2 linked regions of the Arabidopsis thaliana genome follow. The protein of the gene in region 2 interacts with the protein of the main gene of each other region in a biochemical or structural test. Each region holds a gene or a part of one and is shown on either strand. Other genes may lie near its edges.

The links.
Region 1: the proteins of CMT3 (region 2) and SIZ1 form a complex in vitro, tested with the Arabidopsis thaliana proteins (one study listed by BioGRID).

Annotation. Positions count from the first base shown.
Region 1 is NC_003076.8:24,292,968-24,300,760, reverse strand, and holds the start of SIZ1 (DNA-binding protein with MIZ/SP-RING zinc finger, PHD-finger and SAP domain-containing protein), read right to left. Parts: upstream 6,001-7,793; 5' UTR 5,726-6,000; intron 5,628-5,725; 5' UTR 5,536-5,627; coding exon 5,512-5,535; intron 5,244-5,511; coding exon 5,163-5,243; intron 4,944-5,162; coding exon 4,901-4,943; intron 4,792-4,900; coding exon 4,719-4,791; intron 4,625-4,718; coding exon 4,462-4,624; intron 4,298-4,461; coding exon 4,167-4,297; intron 3,860-4,166; coding exon 3,791-3,859; intron 3,548-3,790; coding exon 3,460-3,547; intron 3,381-3,459; coding exon 3,305-3,380; intron 3,094-3,304; coding exon 3,020-3,093; intron 2,891-3,019; coding exon 2,783-2,890; intron 2,300-2,782; coding exon 2,138-2,299; intron 2,034-2,137; coding exon 1,929-2,033; intron 1,846-1,928; coding exon 1,765-1,845; intron 1,682-1,764; coding exon 478-1,681; coding exon of another isoform or gene 461-477; exon of another isoform or gene 230-460; coding exon 94-229; coding exon of another isoform or gene 90-93; exon of another isoform or gene 9-89; coding exon 1-8. UniProt on the Arabidopsis thaliana protein: E3 SUMO protein ligase involved in regulation processes. Mediates SUMO/ attachment to PHR1, a MYB transcriptional activator controlling the phosphate deficiency responses.
Region 2 is NC_003070.9:26,246,580-26,255,933, reverse strand, and holds CMT3 (chromomethylase 3), read left to right. Parts: upstream 1-2,246; 5' UTR 2,247-2,414; coding exon 2,415-2,630; intron 2,631-2,759; coding exon 2,760-2,797; intron 2,798-2,914; coding exon 2,915-3,017; intron 3,018-3,531; coding exon 3,532-3,639; intron 3,640-3,725; coding exon 3,726-3,845; intron 3,846-3,948; coding exon 3,949-4,048; intron 4,049-4,159; coding exon 4,160-4,368; intron 4,369-4,458; coding exon 4,459-4,524; intron 4,525-4,600; coding exon 4,601-4,858; intron 4,859-4,950; coding exon 4,951-5,009; intron 5,010-5,091; coding exon 5,092-5,158; intron 5,159-5,390; coding exon 5,391-5,720; intron 5,721-5,797; coding exon 5,798-5,866; intron 5,867-5,935; coding exon 5,936-6,022; intron 6,023-6,110; coding exon 6,111-6,198; intron 6,199-6,305; coding exon 6,306-6,421; intron 6,422-6,527; coding exon 6,528-6,632; intron 6,633-6,711; coding exon 6,712-6,755; intron 6,756-6,851; coding exon 6,852-6,921; intron 6,922-7,074; and 5 more. UniProt on the Arabidopsis thaliana protein: Involved in the CpXpG methylation (e.g. CHG cytosine) and in gene silencing. Methylates preferentially transposon-related sequences. Functionally redundant to DRM1/DRM2 to maintain non-CpG methylation. Involved in RNA-directed DNA methylation.

The DNA.
Region 1 (7,793 bases), on a different chromosome or scaffold from region 2:
TCATTGTTCTGTGCATAGCGTTAAGAATCAAAAGGAACACCGAATCATCCCAAGAGAGACACAACAGAACAGACAAATCAGGAAGAATATTACTCAGAATCCGAGTCAATGGAGAGGTACATCCGAGGTCTTACAGAACGCTTCTGGCGAGGAAATGAAAATGGATTATCTGATCTTTGCTTCTTTGCCTTGTCTTGTCTACTGTCATTCATACCCAGAAGCAACGACGCTGCAAATACGCAGTAATAGTCAGTAAGTATACCACATGGACTATGGACATATATAAAGTAGCATATTCAAAGACAAAATACGCCACATAGAAACTAAAACAGATATTTCTTCTTCAGTTGTTTATAAGACCTAGCTAGCAGCTTAGTAAAGTGATGAAAAAGGTAATGCAACATCAAGAACATGGTCCACATTTTTAGGTCCCTTTGATGTTTTCAGGAAAGCATTAGTCTCAGACAGGGAACAAACCAGTCTCTGTTGTAGTATCCATAGAACCTTCCCTCGTAGACATCTGATGGCTTGAGTTAATCCCGTTTGTAGTTGCAGGATCTCCATGATTCCCAGAGGCGCTATCGCCTAGCCTAAGCGAGATCCAGTCTTCACTACGGAGACCATTTGACATATCAGCTTGGTTTTTAAAACCCGACTGAGCTGAAGCATCTGGTTTTGTTGGCAAAAATATTTGAAGTGAGGGATCGTCTCTACCAAATGCAAGAGGATTGTCAACTAGGCCATCGTTTGCTTCAGATCGGCCAGTAGAGCCAGGAACCACAGGAACAGATGCCATTGATGTCTCAGGAGCCATGGTATAACCTCCATTTATTTCAGGAGAACAGTTTAGTGGACTATGATGATGCAAACCAACTAAACCTCCTGAAACGTCAGCATCAGATCTAAATAGTTGGAACCCAGGGGCTTCTGGAGTTTCAGAAGGAAATGACCAAAGGGGCGTATCAAATTCATCATCATCATTGAAAAGACCTAAGCCTGAACTTCCCCCAGCTATGCTGTGTGGGTCCTCATTATATGAGTTAATTATTCCAGGAGGGTTCAGTGGAAAAGTAAGTCCACCATCTGTTTGACAACCACTGTATGCAGGCCCTGGAGTGATCACTAAATCATTCTCGTCATCAGAATCACTCAGAACGATGACTTCATTATTTCCACCCTCGCCAGATTGGTTTCTGTCAGGAAAGTTATAACCTGAATCAACATTCATGGAAATGGAATCAAGTTCCATGCCGTTGGCTACAAAGTCAAAAGTTCCAATAGCATCCTGGTTTACGCTTGCATCATCACCATCCCTACCACTTCCAGTAGCACTACTACTCATTGGTATAATATTCTTCTCCTGATACCCAACCTTTTCTTGCCTATTACTGGAAGATAATCCATTTGTATTAGGTTTGCTAACTTCCCAAATGCCATTACGATTCTTCCTTATTCCAAGTTTTAGCGGGGCTGGACCATCTGAGTAACCTTCTTGCTTAACCGGTAACATTTCCATCTTCCGTTTAATATCAACAGCAGAGGGGCAAAGGCTACCATCAGGTGCATGCCACTGTGAGAGTTCCCCCAGTTCCCTTCGCTCACTCTCTCTTTTGAACTTTACACGCCAAGAACCATCAGGTTTCACTTCAATTTCAGTCACCTCTTCATCACAATGCTTCATCTGTCGTGCAGGAAGACAACTACTGAATAAAAGCGTAGATACAAAGATTTTAAGAATTCTTGAATTCCCATAAGAATACATACCTTAGACGTGATACGGTTAAAATAAGGATCGACGATTACATGCTCCACTGAGTAGTTCTTCAGACAAATAGGGCACTGCCACTGCATGTTAACAAACCCCAGAACAACTAAAGTCAGAAAACAAGAGACATAACCCAATATCTAGACAAGGATAGTAGACCTACCTTTCTGGAACGTTGATTCAACTCCACAAACACATCAAGGTCAAAACAGCCCATGTGCACACAGGGTAAAAATCTCCCAGCAACTTTTATCCTAGAACCGCTCATCTAATGACGCAAACAGAAAAGACAATAAAAAAAATTCAGTCTGCAAGATAGCCCTAGGAAGAGGATAAGTATAAAAACTGGGCTACGAGCTATTAGTAACTTACAGGACACCGAAGATTGACACCGAAGAAATCAGCAACAACTTCAATGTCACTATCACTGTCGGCATTATCATCTCCACCTCCACCTCCAATGCATCGGCGGACACGTGCAAGAGCATCTTCAAAAGTCTCCCCTTTACCCTCTTCTGGAATCAAATTTAGAACCTAGATGCAAAAATGAGTATATATATAAGCAACTTGGAGATCATTAGATCATTAACGTACAATATGAATTCCTCTGTATACAAGAACACCAACAAAAGTGATAAATATATTGATTAAAGGGATAAATGTTGCAGCACAAGGACAGACTACACTTCCGTAACCAAATCTCATACAAGGCCAGGCTCAGTGGCTCATATACGTGAAATATAGGAAGAAGAATAGGACTGTGAAATTTGAAATCTGACTAACTTTTCTAGATTTAGTGGGAGTGGGAAATAACATGGGAATAGTTTAACGTAAGTGTGTAACCACAGGTAACTTCCACAAAATTACTTTCTTGGGTACGCCAACATAATTTATTCTTTCTTTTTGTATTCAGAATATTAATTTCGTTCCTTTTTGAACATTTATGTTTGGACTCTTCATTGACCACATATACGACCAAATCTTTGAATGTTTCTTATGCATATATGTTATCAGTACCTGTTGTAGAGTCCTGCGCTTCACAAGTCTGACCCCAAAACAAAAAATCCGAACGTCACCTCCACTCAAGGATATTCTGTTAACTCCATCCCTAATACAAGATGTAATCTGCCAAAATAGTAAAATGAAATGGTTAAAACTTACATCACTGATTGCTAGATTTTCAATGTATGAGAGATTGACTCCTATATGTAATTCAAAAGGGTTACTACTCAAAAGGGATGATAAAAAACACACAATGGGTCCATCGTCGCGGCCGTTGACTCCCAAAAGCTGTCCTCCAGGTCGATTAATTGCACGTACAGGCACACCTATGAAATGATAGGGTATATATCATGAATCCCACATCAGAAACATACACAGTCTTATTGAGTATGATCAGAATAACAGACAAATAAAGACAATGTGAATGTGAATGGAATGTGCCCACAGGAATTTATGCAACATGAAATAAAACAACATTCCCCTGTTTCAAAGGAAATGCTCAACCGACTAAAACTCTGGTCGATGTCATTGTCATACCATTGACCTGCAGATCAGCATACTGAGGCCACTGCATCCTAAAGAGAACTTTATCATTCAAGAGCATACACCAAGCCTAAACAAAATTGATTTCCAGTTAGAAACGTATAGGTAGATACACCTTGACATATTAAATGTAGTTTACAAAACCCAACCTGAACATCGTACTCTGGTTTGGCCAAAAGGTCCTTGTCTGCCCTTGTGATTTGAAATGTTCTCTCCACACTCTGCATTGTGCTTGCACTGAAAAGTTTTGGATCGGAGTATTAGTACAAACAAAAGCCAGTAACAGTATTTCTTCAGCAGGTGCTATGCATATAGCCAGGAAACAATTGTCATTCTTGAAACTAGAATGAATGTCTTATACCAGTTCCAAGTAGAAAATTTAAAGTCAAAGTGACTTATAAAGTACCAATTCACACAATAATGGCACTGAAAGTACACTCGTTCAAAGCAATAGCAATATCAAGAATATAAAATTCTTACCCATCATTTGGGATAGTCGTTGCAGTCAGCCTCACTGGAGAGAGTGGATGTGCCACTGTAACCCAAAATCTGAACAAGGAAACCATGTAGGAAAACCGTGAATAATCATGCTATAGGATATCCACAGGTGCTAATGTAAAGATAGGAAATAATATATAAAAGAAAATTGACAACTATGAAAACAGTACTAGAAGAAGAAGAACAATCAAACGCAAAGAAACTAGAATGCAAAGCATGTCAAATGTATAAATATGTCTTTCTTTTCAGTTATGGCAGGAAAGAATCATAAAGCAGTGAGGGAGGAACTCAGATGGAAAATCAATCACATATCAAACTTAAACTCAGACAGGAAAAGTAAAATCCTTGAAACACATACGGGTCAGCTCGAGTAAGTCGGCAGATTTCACAATAAAATGATTCCGGAAGTGGTGGATTCCCATCCATAGGCTTATCTGGGAGAATAACACAGCCAACATGCTGCCAAACATGGCATCTTGGATCCTCACACTGAAATCGGAAGAAAAAAAACAAAAATTACAGCCAGAAAGTATCACCAAACTTCACAAATGTAATCAATGATAAATACATCACACCATCGACCATAAAATACAAAGAAATTGTCTACAGTCAGCTCAAACAGGAATAAACGCAGTGAGTTCATCCCAGATTACCTGTATCATTGAGTCTGTTTCTAGCGAGTTTCCACAAACACATCGAACTTTAATTTCTGGTTGGAAGGGGTCTTCAGGCTCTCCCTTAACTTTCAGATTACTGGTATCTGAACTCACTTGTCCTTTTGATGCTAAATCACTTGCCCCAGATACTTGCATTTTCCTATGGAACACAATATAAAATTAATGGTAACAAAGAACCGCCACAAAAAGCATGGCATCTCCTAAGAAATCTATTGAAAGAAACGAGCACTCACCTATATGTATCGTCCACTAATTTGGCAACTGCTTCCTTTGCCACTGTATTCTTTTTAGACAACAACCTGGCAGCTGTCAGTAGGGAATGAAAACGGAAGCTTATTAGAAGAAGATGGCAGAGCTAGCAGTGACTCTTAATACACCAAAACGTGAATAAACAAAAGCAAGTGGTTCATATAACCTTGTTCATCAGAAAGAAGGGTCAAGATCCGGTCGACAAGTTCCTGCACAAGAAAATTTCAAAAAGAAGTTAAATTTTTTGGTGAAAGAATAAAACAGATAACACTCTTTGCAAGGTAATGTCTTAGATTTATCTTGGAAACTGCTATATAGCTCAAGACAGCAATAATTATCACCCAAAACATCATCTTCTCTACTATAATCATTCCAAAACAATCACAAACATAATCACGACCAATGGAAGATTAGAGAACGATACTAACCTGCTTCTTTCCCTGTTTCGAAAGTCCCAGCTGAGTGAGCACATCCTTGAGCTCTTTTATCCGAAAATATGAAAGTTTTTCCTGCAACCCACAACAAAAACACAACGTTAAGCTTAACTAGAGCAAGACTAAATTCAATAACAGCAACCACGAACCATAATCCAAAACCCTTATGAGATAAAGGATCGTTTTTTACTCCCAGCAATACAATCTAGATCATAAACAAAACGGAAAAGCAAAGCTTTTTTGAAACATCCACTCTATATACCAATCAACACATTCATAACAAGTTCAAATCAACAAAAATTATAAACCAACAAGCATCCATAGATCTTTCAGACAATAATACCTTACAATTAGCTTCCAAATCCATGTCTTCAACACCAGACACAAACAAGAACCAAAAGCTCAGTTCAAAACACACGAACCTAAACTCCAGCAATTAGTCTCCATACAGCAACCGATCTAAATTAACAGAAAAAAAAGAAGGAGTTACTGAAACGAAAACCCTTGAAATTCCAAAAGACAAGACCTTTAAAGACTATTAAACGGAAAATACAAACCATGAAATCGGATACTTGATCAAACCCTATCGAAATTGATAGGTTAATGAGAGAATTGAGATGATTAGAAACTAGGGTTTTCACAGCTACGATAAGATTTTCTTTGGCCAAGGAAGAGGAAAATAAAAAGACAACCAAACCCAGACGAAGAAAAATCGATCCGCCGAGACGAAAACAAAACAAGGGTTGCCGGACGAGTCGCCGATTATCAAATCCGGTTTAATTTTCGCGCAATACGTCCGGGTTTAGTTCCTGTGTGGTCACGTGCACGGTCGTCCCCCCCACCAATATTGACGTGTTTTTGACTTTCGGTTCTCACACCACTTATTTACGACCGTAACGGAGTCTTTGTTATTTTAATCGAATATTCCCCACGTTTTATGACATCAGCCGTTCGATCAGACCGGACCGGTTTGTTATATTTTAACCTCAATTTGTTTATTTGCCGGTTTATAGTATATATCAAATCAATTTGGAAGTTTATCATCCGAAAACATGGTTTTCCATATGTCTCTCATGGCATATGTAGATATTGTATTATTTGATTCTAATTCTTCTAAGTAAGAATTTGGAAACATATTTCATGTCTCTTTTCTTCATTTGTTTTCATTGAATTGACATAGAATGTACATTGAATTGACATTTCTCACCCTCGCTAAATTCATTGAGAATTGTGGCTCAATTCTTCCATATGTGCATTATAGTTAAACTACGAATAAAGGATACAAGTGAGCAAAACCCTACTTTCAAGTTTCAACTAGTAAATCTATCGAATGGATTGCTAGACCGGATAATTCATACTCATTACGGGATGGTTCGTAAAACATGTGGGAAATTATCTTATATATCCACCAAATATTTGAGGTCTCGTAAGCATGTGATCTTGCAAATTGATACGTGGACCAAATTAGATATTGGACACATTTATATGTTCTTTCTATATGTAAAAAGCTTCATTCCGTGTGGAGTTCATTTGTTACAAGAAATGAGATATTATAGATATCAAATAGCATGAAGCTCTTTCTTCAACACTATTTCTACATACAAAAAAAAACATTATATACCAATTAGTGGTGGACTTCTGGTGATAAGATTTGGCTTTTTATCTTTTTGGATGCTGTGTTTTGAACAATGACTTGTCGAGTTTGAACCAAATTTGGTGTTAACCCGAGATATTAAAAAAAGGTTTAATTAGACCTATAGATTTTCCTTGTTCTGCTTAATGAAGATTCTAGAGTAGTCGTGAGCTGGTCTCATTGACTTGATATTTTTTTTGCTTCTAATGGAATGAGATATCTTGAGTTCATGATGTGGATAGTTTTCAAAGATTTGTCAACCTTTTCGTCTTAACATTTTTATATGTCCCTTGTCAAAGGCAAAGAAACATATCGAAAGTAAAAGAAAAGACATTTTTTTCTTGTGGGTGAGAATCAAACCAAACTTGTGAGAATTCTGCAAACGTACACAACTCTTAAATTGATAAAGCTTTTCTTGAAACTTTCAGGCTGAGGATGTGCTGCTAATCATGTGAGCTCCTTGCTGAGCTAACATTCAAAAGACCAAAACATATTTGAGCAAATAGCAAGAACCTATCTTGGAACAGATTATCATTTTAGGTAAGAGAAGACGATCTAGAGGCTCAAACCAAGGTCCTCTACGGAGCAGTTTCATTGTTTTTATGGTGTTACTATGTAAGTAGAAAGAGAATAGTTTATGAATATTAAGATGCATCTTTGTTAGAGGGTGATTATTGAACAACTGAAATACCTTGATCTCTCCGTATTAAGATGCATATATAAGGATTGCTACGTAGGAGAGATACCGTCACCACTAGTTAACTTCTTAGAAGAGGTGATGGCGCTATCTCTCCTGCGAAGCAAATCTTTATTTGCAGTTTTAAAACCATAGAAGAAGCAAGACCACTTGTATGTGTAATCACTCTATTAGTATCACCTCATCCATATATATATTATTACCTTAAGGTCAAAGAAGAGTGGACTTAATTTACACTGTCACTATCTTTGCTCTTAAATCATAATTGTCATTTAGTTTGCTGCTTTCTATGTGG
Region 2 (9,354 bases):
GATGTAAACATCTAGATACATTTTAATCCATTCGAAGAACTTAACAAAAAAAAATTTCATACATTATATTACATTCGGTGTGGTACAGATCGCACGGTCAATCAATCTAAAGATCACTTGCGGTGATTGAGCGACGTTGTATGATTTTATCCATACTTCATATTGTTTACTGTTATGATCCATTCTTCACAAGATTGACTAGACGCGATATATGTGCACTCTTATCATCAAGAAGTGAAATATAGCGTATGATTAGATATGTGAATTTAAAGGCTAGTCTTACAAGTTGCTAGCGAATTTGGAAAACTTGTATAGTCGTTTTTTTTTTTCGGTATGATCACCCAACTTTGACGTATCTATTTCAGACACTATAAAAGCATATGTTTCGATTACTGTTTATCCAAATGGAAATGTCTCGCCCAAAACCTCAACATGAAAGTCAGGAAAGTCCAACAACGTAGTTTTCAAGAAGTCACAATATGTCCCTCCTCTCGTGTCACACCACTCCTAGTCCTAGCGAACTAGCTGCATAGTGTAAAATACTTTATATATGAAAAACTTAGACATAAATATATATATACGTGTGCGTGTGTGATGCATGTTTATTGTTTTTTATTCAGGCCTATATGCATTCTACATGTTTTAGATCAAGATGGTGATACAGAGACACTACTAATACAAACACTTGCATAAATCCTCTATGATTATGTCATTCGTATTCATTATTTTAAAAAGAAAATTTACGTCAATACTTGAAATACATTAATTGATATATGTTTTCCTAGTTTTGGAGAAAAGGGTGGTGTTCATATGTTGCAAAACACAAACATGTAAATACAGCAAAGAAGACATAGTGGACCCATGACAAGAAATAAGGCCCAAAAGTTGGGCTAATTTCAGCCATCACGACAAAGGCTACTTCTCATTTCGACATCCATATTATTCTATTCTTGTACACTTCTCTTTCATTCACTCGTCATTAATATGCCTTCAATCTAATATATTTAAGGACACAATTATACACACGTCCATATATAAACTTATATTGTTGCCTTGTTGGATATATATAAAAGTTATTGTAATTAGTAGTTACTAGTTAGAGTAATTTTCAGGTCTAATAGTGATGAGATTAACGTATTTTCTTCTTTAAATTTCAGTTATTTGCAAATAATGTCACTGCTCGATTTCCTGGAATAAAGGAGCTAATAAGAGTATCATGTTCTCCTTCATGTTACCATTTCACGTTTGCACGTTTTTTTTTTTTTTATTATGAACAAGATTACGATCACACGTTCGGTTTGTTGTTTAGTCGTTCCAAGTGTATAGGAGTTTTATCCACACAAAAAAAATTTTGATAGGAATGTGTAATTCCATAAAGATTTCCATCGTTACACACTAAAGTTTTATCTTACGCGCCACGCCGTTTGTGGAGTAACCGAGTAACTAATTTACTACTAGTCTTGATGTTGGTAGGATTAAATAAAAGAATCATGGAGATAGGATACGATTGTGTTTGAATAATTCAATATGTTTATATCTGGAAAGATCTACAAATTTGATATGATCACTAAGATTGTGGGAATTTATTCAAATCCAAAACACATAGTTACAAATCATATACAAATATGGAAAATAAATAATGTCTAATAACATTTGTGTAACATCATCTTTAATGCGAGTCATTTAGAAATGTAACTTTTTTTCTTTCTGATATGTTTATTTCTGGAAATATATACAAAATTGACCTGATCACTAAGATTGTGGGAATAATTCCAAACCAATATAGAAAGTGATAATTTATTAAAAACTGAACATTTGTGTAATCTTTTTTTTTTTTTTTTTAATGTAATGTCAAATTATATTCAAAAAAAACATATACTTTTTTACAACTTGTGCTTCATGTGTAAGAAAGGGAGAGTGCTAAAAAAAATTCTGAAATTGTCCAAAAATGATTAGATCTTTCGTAGAGTCGATGTTGACTACCCCGGGAATGAACCCATTTGTGTAATCTTTTAACATTTATTAAAAACAAATCATAGATAGCTAAGATTGTGGGAAGAATTCCAAACGAAATTAAATTCACACTAACACATTTACTAAAATCATAGATAGATATAGAAAGAAAAAACTTTTCTACTAATTTTTTTGACATTTGTGTACTCATTATAGCGAGAGAAAGAGATGGGCCTCAAAACTTTTATTAGGCCCAAACGTTTTAAATTCATTATAAAAATAAAACAATTCCACGAAAATTTCGAAACCCATCACTTTGGCGCTTATGTGACGCGCTTATTTCGCCCTCAATCTCAGATTATTTAGTCCTCACACTCGTCACACCCCCGCTTCCTAGGGTTTCATTTCGTCTCTTTATCTTCCTTCGTCTCTTTAGCTTCCTTCGATTCTCTGACTCAATCATGGCGCCGAAGCGAAAGAGACCTGCGACAAAGGATGACACTACCAAATCCATTCCCAAACCGAAGAAGAGAGCTCCTAAGCGAGCTAAGACGGTGAAAGAAGAGCCGGTGACAGTGGTCGAGGAAGGGGAAAAGCATGTTGCGAGGTTTCTAGACGAGCCAATTCCAGAATCTGAAGCGAAGAGTACCTGGCCTGACAGATACAAACCGATTGAGGTAATTTCATACATCGGAAACTGGAATTTTGGGTGTTTGTGTATGAAATAGTTAGATCTAGTTGAAATTTGCTGAGATTTGTTGCAGATCTGTTGATTTCTGAAGGATTTTTTGTTTGTTTTGTTTCAGGTACAGCCACCTAAGGCTTCGTCAAGAAAGAAGACGAAGTAAGTTCCTTGAATCCTTTGGTTCTTGTGTATAGTCAGATTGAGAGGCTTTACTTTTGTTTGATTAGAAATGTTTTTTGTTTCGTAAATAGTTGATTAAGTGAATTCGTTTTGTAGGGATGACGAAAAAGTTGAGATCATTCGTGCTCGATGCCATTATAGACGTGCGATTGTTGATGAGCGTCAGATATATGAGCTGAATGATGATGCTTATGTACAGGTATGACTCTATTACGTCTAAATTGCATTTGTTACATTTTAAAGCGTAGATTTATGTGGTACATTGAAGAAAATGAGTTAGAGAGGAGAATGTGCATGACATTGTGTTTCTTGGTGTTTGAGTTTGATGACTATTGAGGTTTTACCACTTTTTTAATGTGCCAACATGGTTTTACTGTGTAGAAAATTTTGATGTGTAGGGTAAATAATTAACCAAAGTTGATCACATTCTCCTCCCTCACCACTATCAACTGTCCGCAATAAATATTTGTGCATTGTCTCTGTTTGTCATGCTTTGTATATCTCCAAGTCCTTATGATAGTAGTTACCTTTCGAAGCTGAGTTCTCATCTGTAACAATAACTAGCTGATTGTTATTTAGACTGGCATTGCATATTATGCATTGGCTATATGAACGTTTATCATGTTGTTTTATGTTTTTCGTACAGCGTAGGTAGATGCTTTACCATATATAACTTCTGTTTTTAACAACTGAGTTTTGTAATTTTTGTGCAGTCTGGTGAGGGAAAGGATCCCTTCATTTGTAAAATCATTGAAATGTTTGAAGGGGCTAATGGGAAACTGTATTTCACGGCTCGGTGGTTTTATAGACCTTCTGATACTGTAAGAATAAAAAAAATCTTCTTCTTCACTTTCTCTTTAATCTATGTTGAATTGTCTGAAGTTTTTTTTCTATTCTTAACTTTCAGGTAATGAAAGAGTTCGAGATTCTGATCAAGAAAAAGCGTGTGTTTTTCTCTGAGATACAAGATACAAATGAATTGGGATTACTTGAAAAGAAGCTGAACATTTTGATGATTCCCTTGAATGTATGTTCTTACTTCACTGTTACTTGTAGTGTATGCTTTTGGTATACAGTATCTTAGTACAATCTTCCATTGATACTGAACTTATTTTTGTTTCTCATGCCAGGAAAATACTAAAGAGACTATCCCTGCAACAGAAAACTGTGACTTTTTCTGTGACATGAACTATTTCTTGCCTTACGATACATTTGAAGCTATACAACAAGGTTAGTGCTTTTAACAATTGATCTTCAAGTTTAGAAACTGCCAACTGGATTAGATAAAATGCTGCAGTTTTTGAAGATAACTAAGCATTTACAGATCTTTCAATTGTGCAGAAACCATGATGGCTATAAGTGAAAGTTCAACAATATCCAGTGATACTGATATAAGAGAAGGAGCTGCTGCCATATCAGAGATTGGAGAATGTTCTCAAGAAACAGAAGGTCACAAAAAGGCAACTTTGCTTGACCTTTACTCCGGCTGTGGAGCTATGTCGACAGGGTTGTGCATGGGTGCACAACTGTCTGGTTTGAACCTCGTCACTGTGAGTCATTTTTGCTTGCTAATAATCTTCTCAGATTTGTTTAATCTCTCAATGCTTAACTTTTGCTTTTTTTTTAAAATGATTCTCAAGAAATGGGCTGTTGACATGAATGCACATGCATGTAAAAGCTTGCAGCATAACCACCCAGAGACAAACGTAAGTTTTTAGTTTTCCTTTCTCCCAATTCGATTGACTACAGAAATTCTCAAGAGCCTAAATCATTTCATTTTAGGTGAGAAACATGACCGCAGAAGATTTCTTGTTTCTGCTTAAGGAGTGGGAGAAGCTATGCATTCATTTCTCTTTGAGAAATAGTCCAAATTCAGAAGAATATGCCAACCTTCACGGTTTGAATAATGTTGAGGACAATGAAGATGTCAGCGAGGAGAGTGAAAATGAAGATGATGGAGAAGTTTTTACTGTTGACAAGATTGTTGGTATTTCCTTCGGAGTCCCTAAAAAGTTATTGAAACGTGGACTTTATTTGAAGGTATTGTTGCTCTGCTTGTACAAATTTCACATTACATCTCATGGTTTAGCCTTGTTATATAGTTAATCATCTCTGGTGTTTTGATATAATAGGTAAGGTGGCTGAATTATGATGATTCTCATGATACATGGGAGCCTATTGAAGGACTCAGGTGAGCAAAACATTAAGAATGTTTGCATTAAAGTTATATATGTTAATGCGTTGTTAAAATCTCTAAATTTGTCCTTGAACAGTAATTGCCGGGGTAAAATTGAAGAGTTCGTTAAACTTGGATATAAATCTGGCATCCTTCCGTTACCAGTATGTATTTTTTATACCTGATTCTTTTGCTTTCCTTAAACTTCTGAAGCTAGTGCATAATTTTCAGATATTTAATCTAAAAGCCAATAATCTAAGTTATTGTATGTGATAAGTTCTATGGGTCTTATGTTGTTCTGCGTCAGTTAATTGTTGAGGGGTGATAGATTTAGTCACAGAACAGTTGATGTTTAGAGCAATATCCTGACATTGTTTATATGTTGTTGATGTTTAGGGAGGTGTTGATGTTGTCTGCGGTGGGCCACCATGCCAAGGAATCAGTGGTCACAACCGCTTCAGGAACTTATTGGACCCTCTAGAAGATCAGAAAAACAAGCAGCTTTTGGTGTATATGAACATTGTAGAATATTTGAAGCCTAAGTTCGTTTTGATGGAAAACGTCGTTGACATGCTGAAGATGGCTAAGGGCTATCTTGCACGGTTTGCTGTTGGACGCCTTCTACAGATGAATTACCAAGTGAGGAATGGAATGATGGCAGCTGGAGCTTATGGGCTTGCTCAGTTTCGTTTGAGGTTCTTTCTATGGGGTGCACTCCCTAGTGAGGTAAAATTCTTAATGTTTTCTCTTTGTTTTATATTAATGAATAGATGCTGTTCTTAATTTGTATCTTTCTGTTTCAGATAATTCCGCAGTTCCCACTTCCAACACATGATCTAGTTCATAGAGGAAATATTGTCAAGGAGTTTCAGGTAAACTGGTATATTAGTACCTTTCAATTTGTTTTAGCAAATTCTCATATTTATTTGTAACTAATGCAGGGAAACATAGTAGCCTATGATGAAGGACATACTGTGAAGTTAGCAGACAAGCTTTTGTTGAAGGATGTGATTTCTGATCTTCCTGCAGTAAGTATTGATGTTTTTAGCAAATTTTGACTAAAATTAGGTACAGTTTGTCTTGAATATTTTCTTACTTCCTATGTTTTTGTATTAGGTTGCCAACAGTGAAAAAAGAGACGAGATTACATATGACAAAGATCCCACAACGCCATTTCAAAAGTTCATCAGATTGAGAAAGGATGGTAAGATTCTTATTATTTTTTTGGGCAAACAGTGTAAAAACATATATTTGACAACTATTATGGCAACTGATGTTCATTAACAAATTGTTTCTGAATTTTTTCAACAGAAGCGTCAGGTTCACAATCAAAGTCCAAGTCCAAAAAGCATGTCTTATATGATCATCACCCTCTTAATCTTAATATAAATGACTATGAACGGGTTTGTCAGGTCCCCAAGAGAAAGGTACAACTTTCTTTATACTCGATTGACGATCATATATTTTTTTGGCTCTGGTCTGTTTTAGTGTCTAGGAATATTCTGATTATTTCAAAACATCTTTTGGTATCAGGGAGCGAATTTTAGGGACTTTCCTGGTGTTATTGTTGGACCTGGTAATGTAGTCAAGTTGGAAGAGGGAAAGGAAAGGGTCAAACTTGAATCTGGAAAAACATTGGTAAGAATGATCATCTCTTTTTTTTGGTCTCATATCAAGTTACTTTTCTCCTGATTGGCTGGCTATGTTATTCAAACAGGTTCCCGATTATGCCTTAACATATGTCGATGGGAAATCATGCAAGTGAGTTTTAATTCTCTTTTCTTCGTCTCTGAAAATTCTGTATTTGACTATTGTTTTCTGTTATGGAAATTGACTTAAGCCCTTCGCTGTTTCCAGACCTTTTGGTCGTCTTTGGTGGGACGAAATTGTCCCCACTGTTGTCACACGGGCAGAACCCCACAACCAGGTGAGACCTCTCATGACAATCAAGTATTTGTTCTGAATTTTGGCTAGTTGTTATTCTAGTGTTCTAGGTTTGCATAGATTTATTAGTATGCATGTTACACTGGAACCAACTTAAAGAGTATAATTGTTTGATGTTGCTGGTGATTGATTGCAGGTGATCATTCATCCAGAGCAAAATCGGGTTTTATCCATTCGAGAAAATGCGAGACTCCAAGGCTTTCCTGATGACTACAAACTCTTTGGCCCACCCAAACAGAAGTGAGTATTGTTAAGACCTTGAGTTTATGTGTGTTCTTGGTGGATTTATTGCTGCTATAGTTCTTAAGACTAATCTTACATAATTTCTGTTTTTCAGGTACATTCAAGTAGGTAACGCTGTAGCTGTGCCAGTAGCGAAGGCCCTTGGATATGCTTTGGGAACAGCTTTCCAGGGACTCGCAGTTGGGAAAGATCCACTTCTTACTCTGCCTGAAGGTTTTGCATTCATGAAGCCAACTCTTCCTTCCGAGCTTGCATGAACACTGTTGATTCATCGCATTTTTCGATTTATCTTCTATTCATTGTTTTCCTAGGATTTATCTTTAGACCATTTGCTGCGGAATTTGGATTTGTTTTGTTTAAGTTTCACGACTTTCAAGTTTAGCAACTCTGAATTTCTGGTAACTTTGTTTTAATCAGATGTTATGGATTTGTGGGATTCTCGTTCTTTTTGTCTAAGAAGAGAACTCATCTTCGGTTCGGTTTTATTACTGTTTCTTGATTAAAGGCAATGTTGGATTCGTTCGGCTACAAAAACTTTGTGCCTTTTAAGATATGGTCCATTTAATAATAGGCCGAACTGCAAATGTGATCTGTTTTGGTAAACATTTTGTGCCTCTTATGAATGAATTCAAGTTAGGCCTATTATTAACTGTACCCTATCTTTTTCAATTCAGTAACTTTCAATTCTACATAAAACACACTATACATTCTTAAGCGGGAAAAAAGTTTTTGGCCTAACGTACTTGAATTCATTAACTTACAATTCTACATAAAACGCTATACATTCCTTTTTCGATGTGGTAAATTGTTATTAAGAATGAATAAAACCATACAAAAATAAGCATCAAAGTAATAAGTTAGCAGAATTGTTAAAGACTTGAAGTAAAACAAATACTTTTACTAGAATAGAGAACAAACCAATGTTTATGGATCATAGAAAAGACTATAATATAACACTCACTAGTTAATCAAATTGCATAGAATACAAGAATGGTCCACTACTCGAACATCGTCGTTATTGTCGGGCATGGTCTATTAATAATACAAATGCATCATCGATTAAGTTGATTAGTTATATTACTTTACTTTCCGAGAACTTCCTAGTTAAATCCAACACGCTATAATATTGATAGTGTGAAGATTGTAATAAAACGGATACCTAGTTCCTATCAATATGTTAATGTCCATTAATATATTATCTTCACCTAATTATAGATCTTATGGCCTAATCACTAGTTTTAAATACTAGTCTGAATTTTAGGCTAAAGAAAGTGAAAATATCACGTTATATGTTGAGTTTATGTAACTAATAAAAATAGATTGAATGACTCGGACAGACGTGGACGTCCCTTTTGTATCTTTCTCGGATATAATCAAATTAGTGGTTGTATGCAATAGTTTCTTCCAATAAATTGACCGATCTCCTTTTATATGGATCTGAACTAATTATCTATCTTTAATTCAATGAGTTGATGATGTTTAACAAGTTTAAATCTGAATCTATACATATATGACAACAAAAACTTCATGATAATCTATTCAACTTCCCATCATGTCTTCATATTCACAAAAAGTATACTCACTATTTCAAAATATAAGATGTTTTAAAGCCATTTTATTTTGTTTCATTTATAAGATGTTTTGCTAGTTTCTATACAATTTTAAATGTATTTGATAACTTGTTACAATTTATATTCTCCTGTTTTTTCCATGATTGGTTAAATAAAAATAATATTTTTGAAAGAATTAATAAGAAATTATCCAATATGTGTGTTTATACCTTAAAAAAATAAACTTAAAATATATGGAGTAATAATTATATAAAAACAAATAGATTCATTCATCGTTCTTTAAATTAATATTTACTTGTTCTATTTGGCATTTTGGTAACCAAAAAAAACAAACGAGACACGTACGGTATGATTGTTTAGTTATCACATTTTATTCTGGCTTATTTAAAAACTAATGTATTTGAATGTTTATTGTACGTTGGCAAGTCCCTGTTAATCCGAACAGCGCAAAAATCCAAAACAAAAAGGAAAGGCGTGTGGAGTTTTGCTCAAGTGGTTGAGTCACCAACAATGCCTTGCCTTCGTTCCTACTCTCAAGTTGTATGATTTTTCTCCTAAAAAGATCAGTGTAAGCATTAAATTCCTTTGTTCTAGGTCTTTTT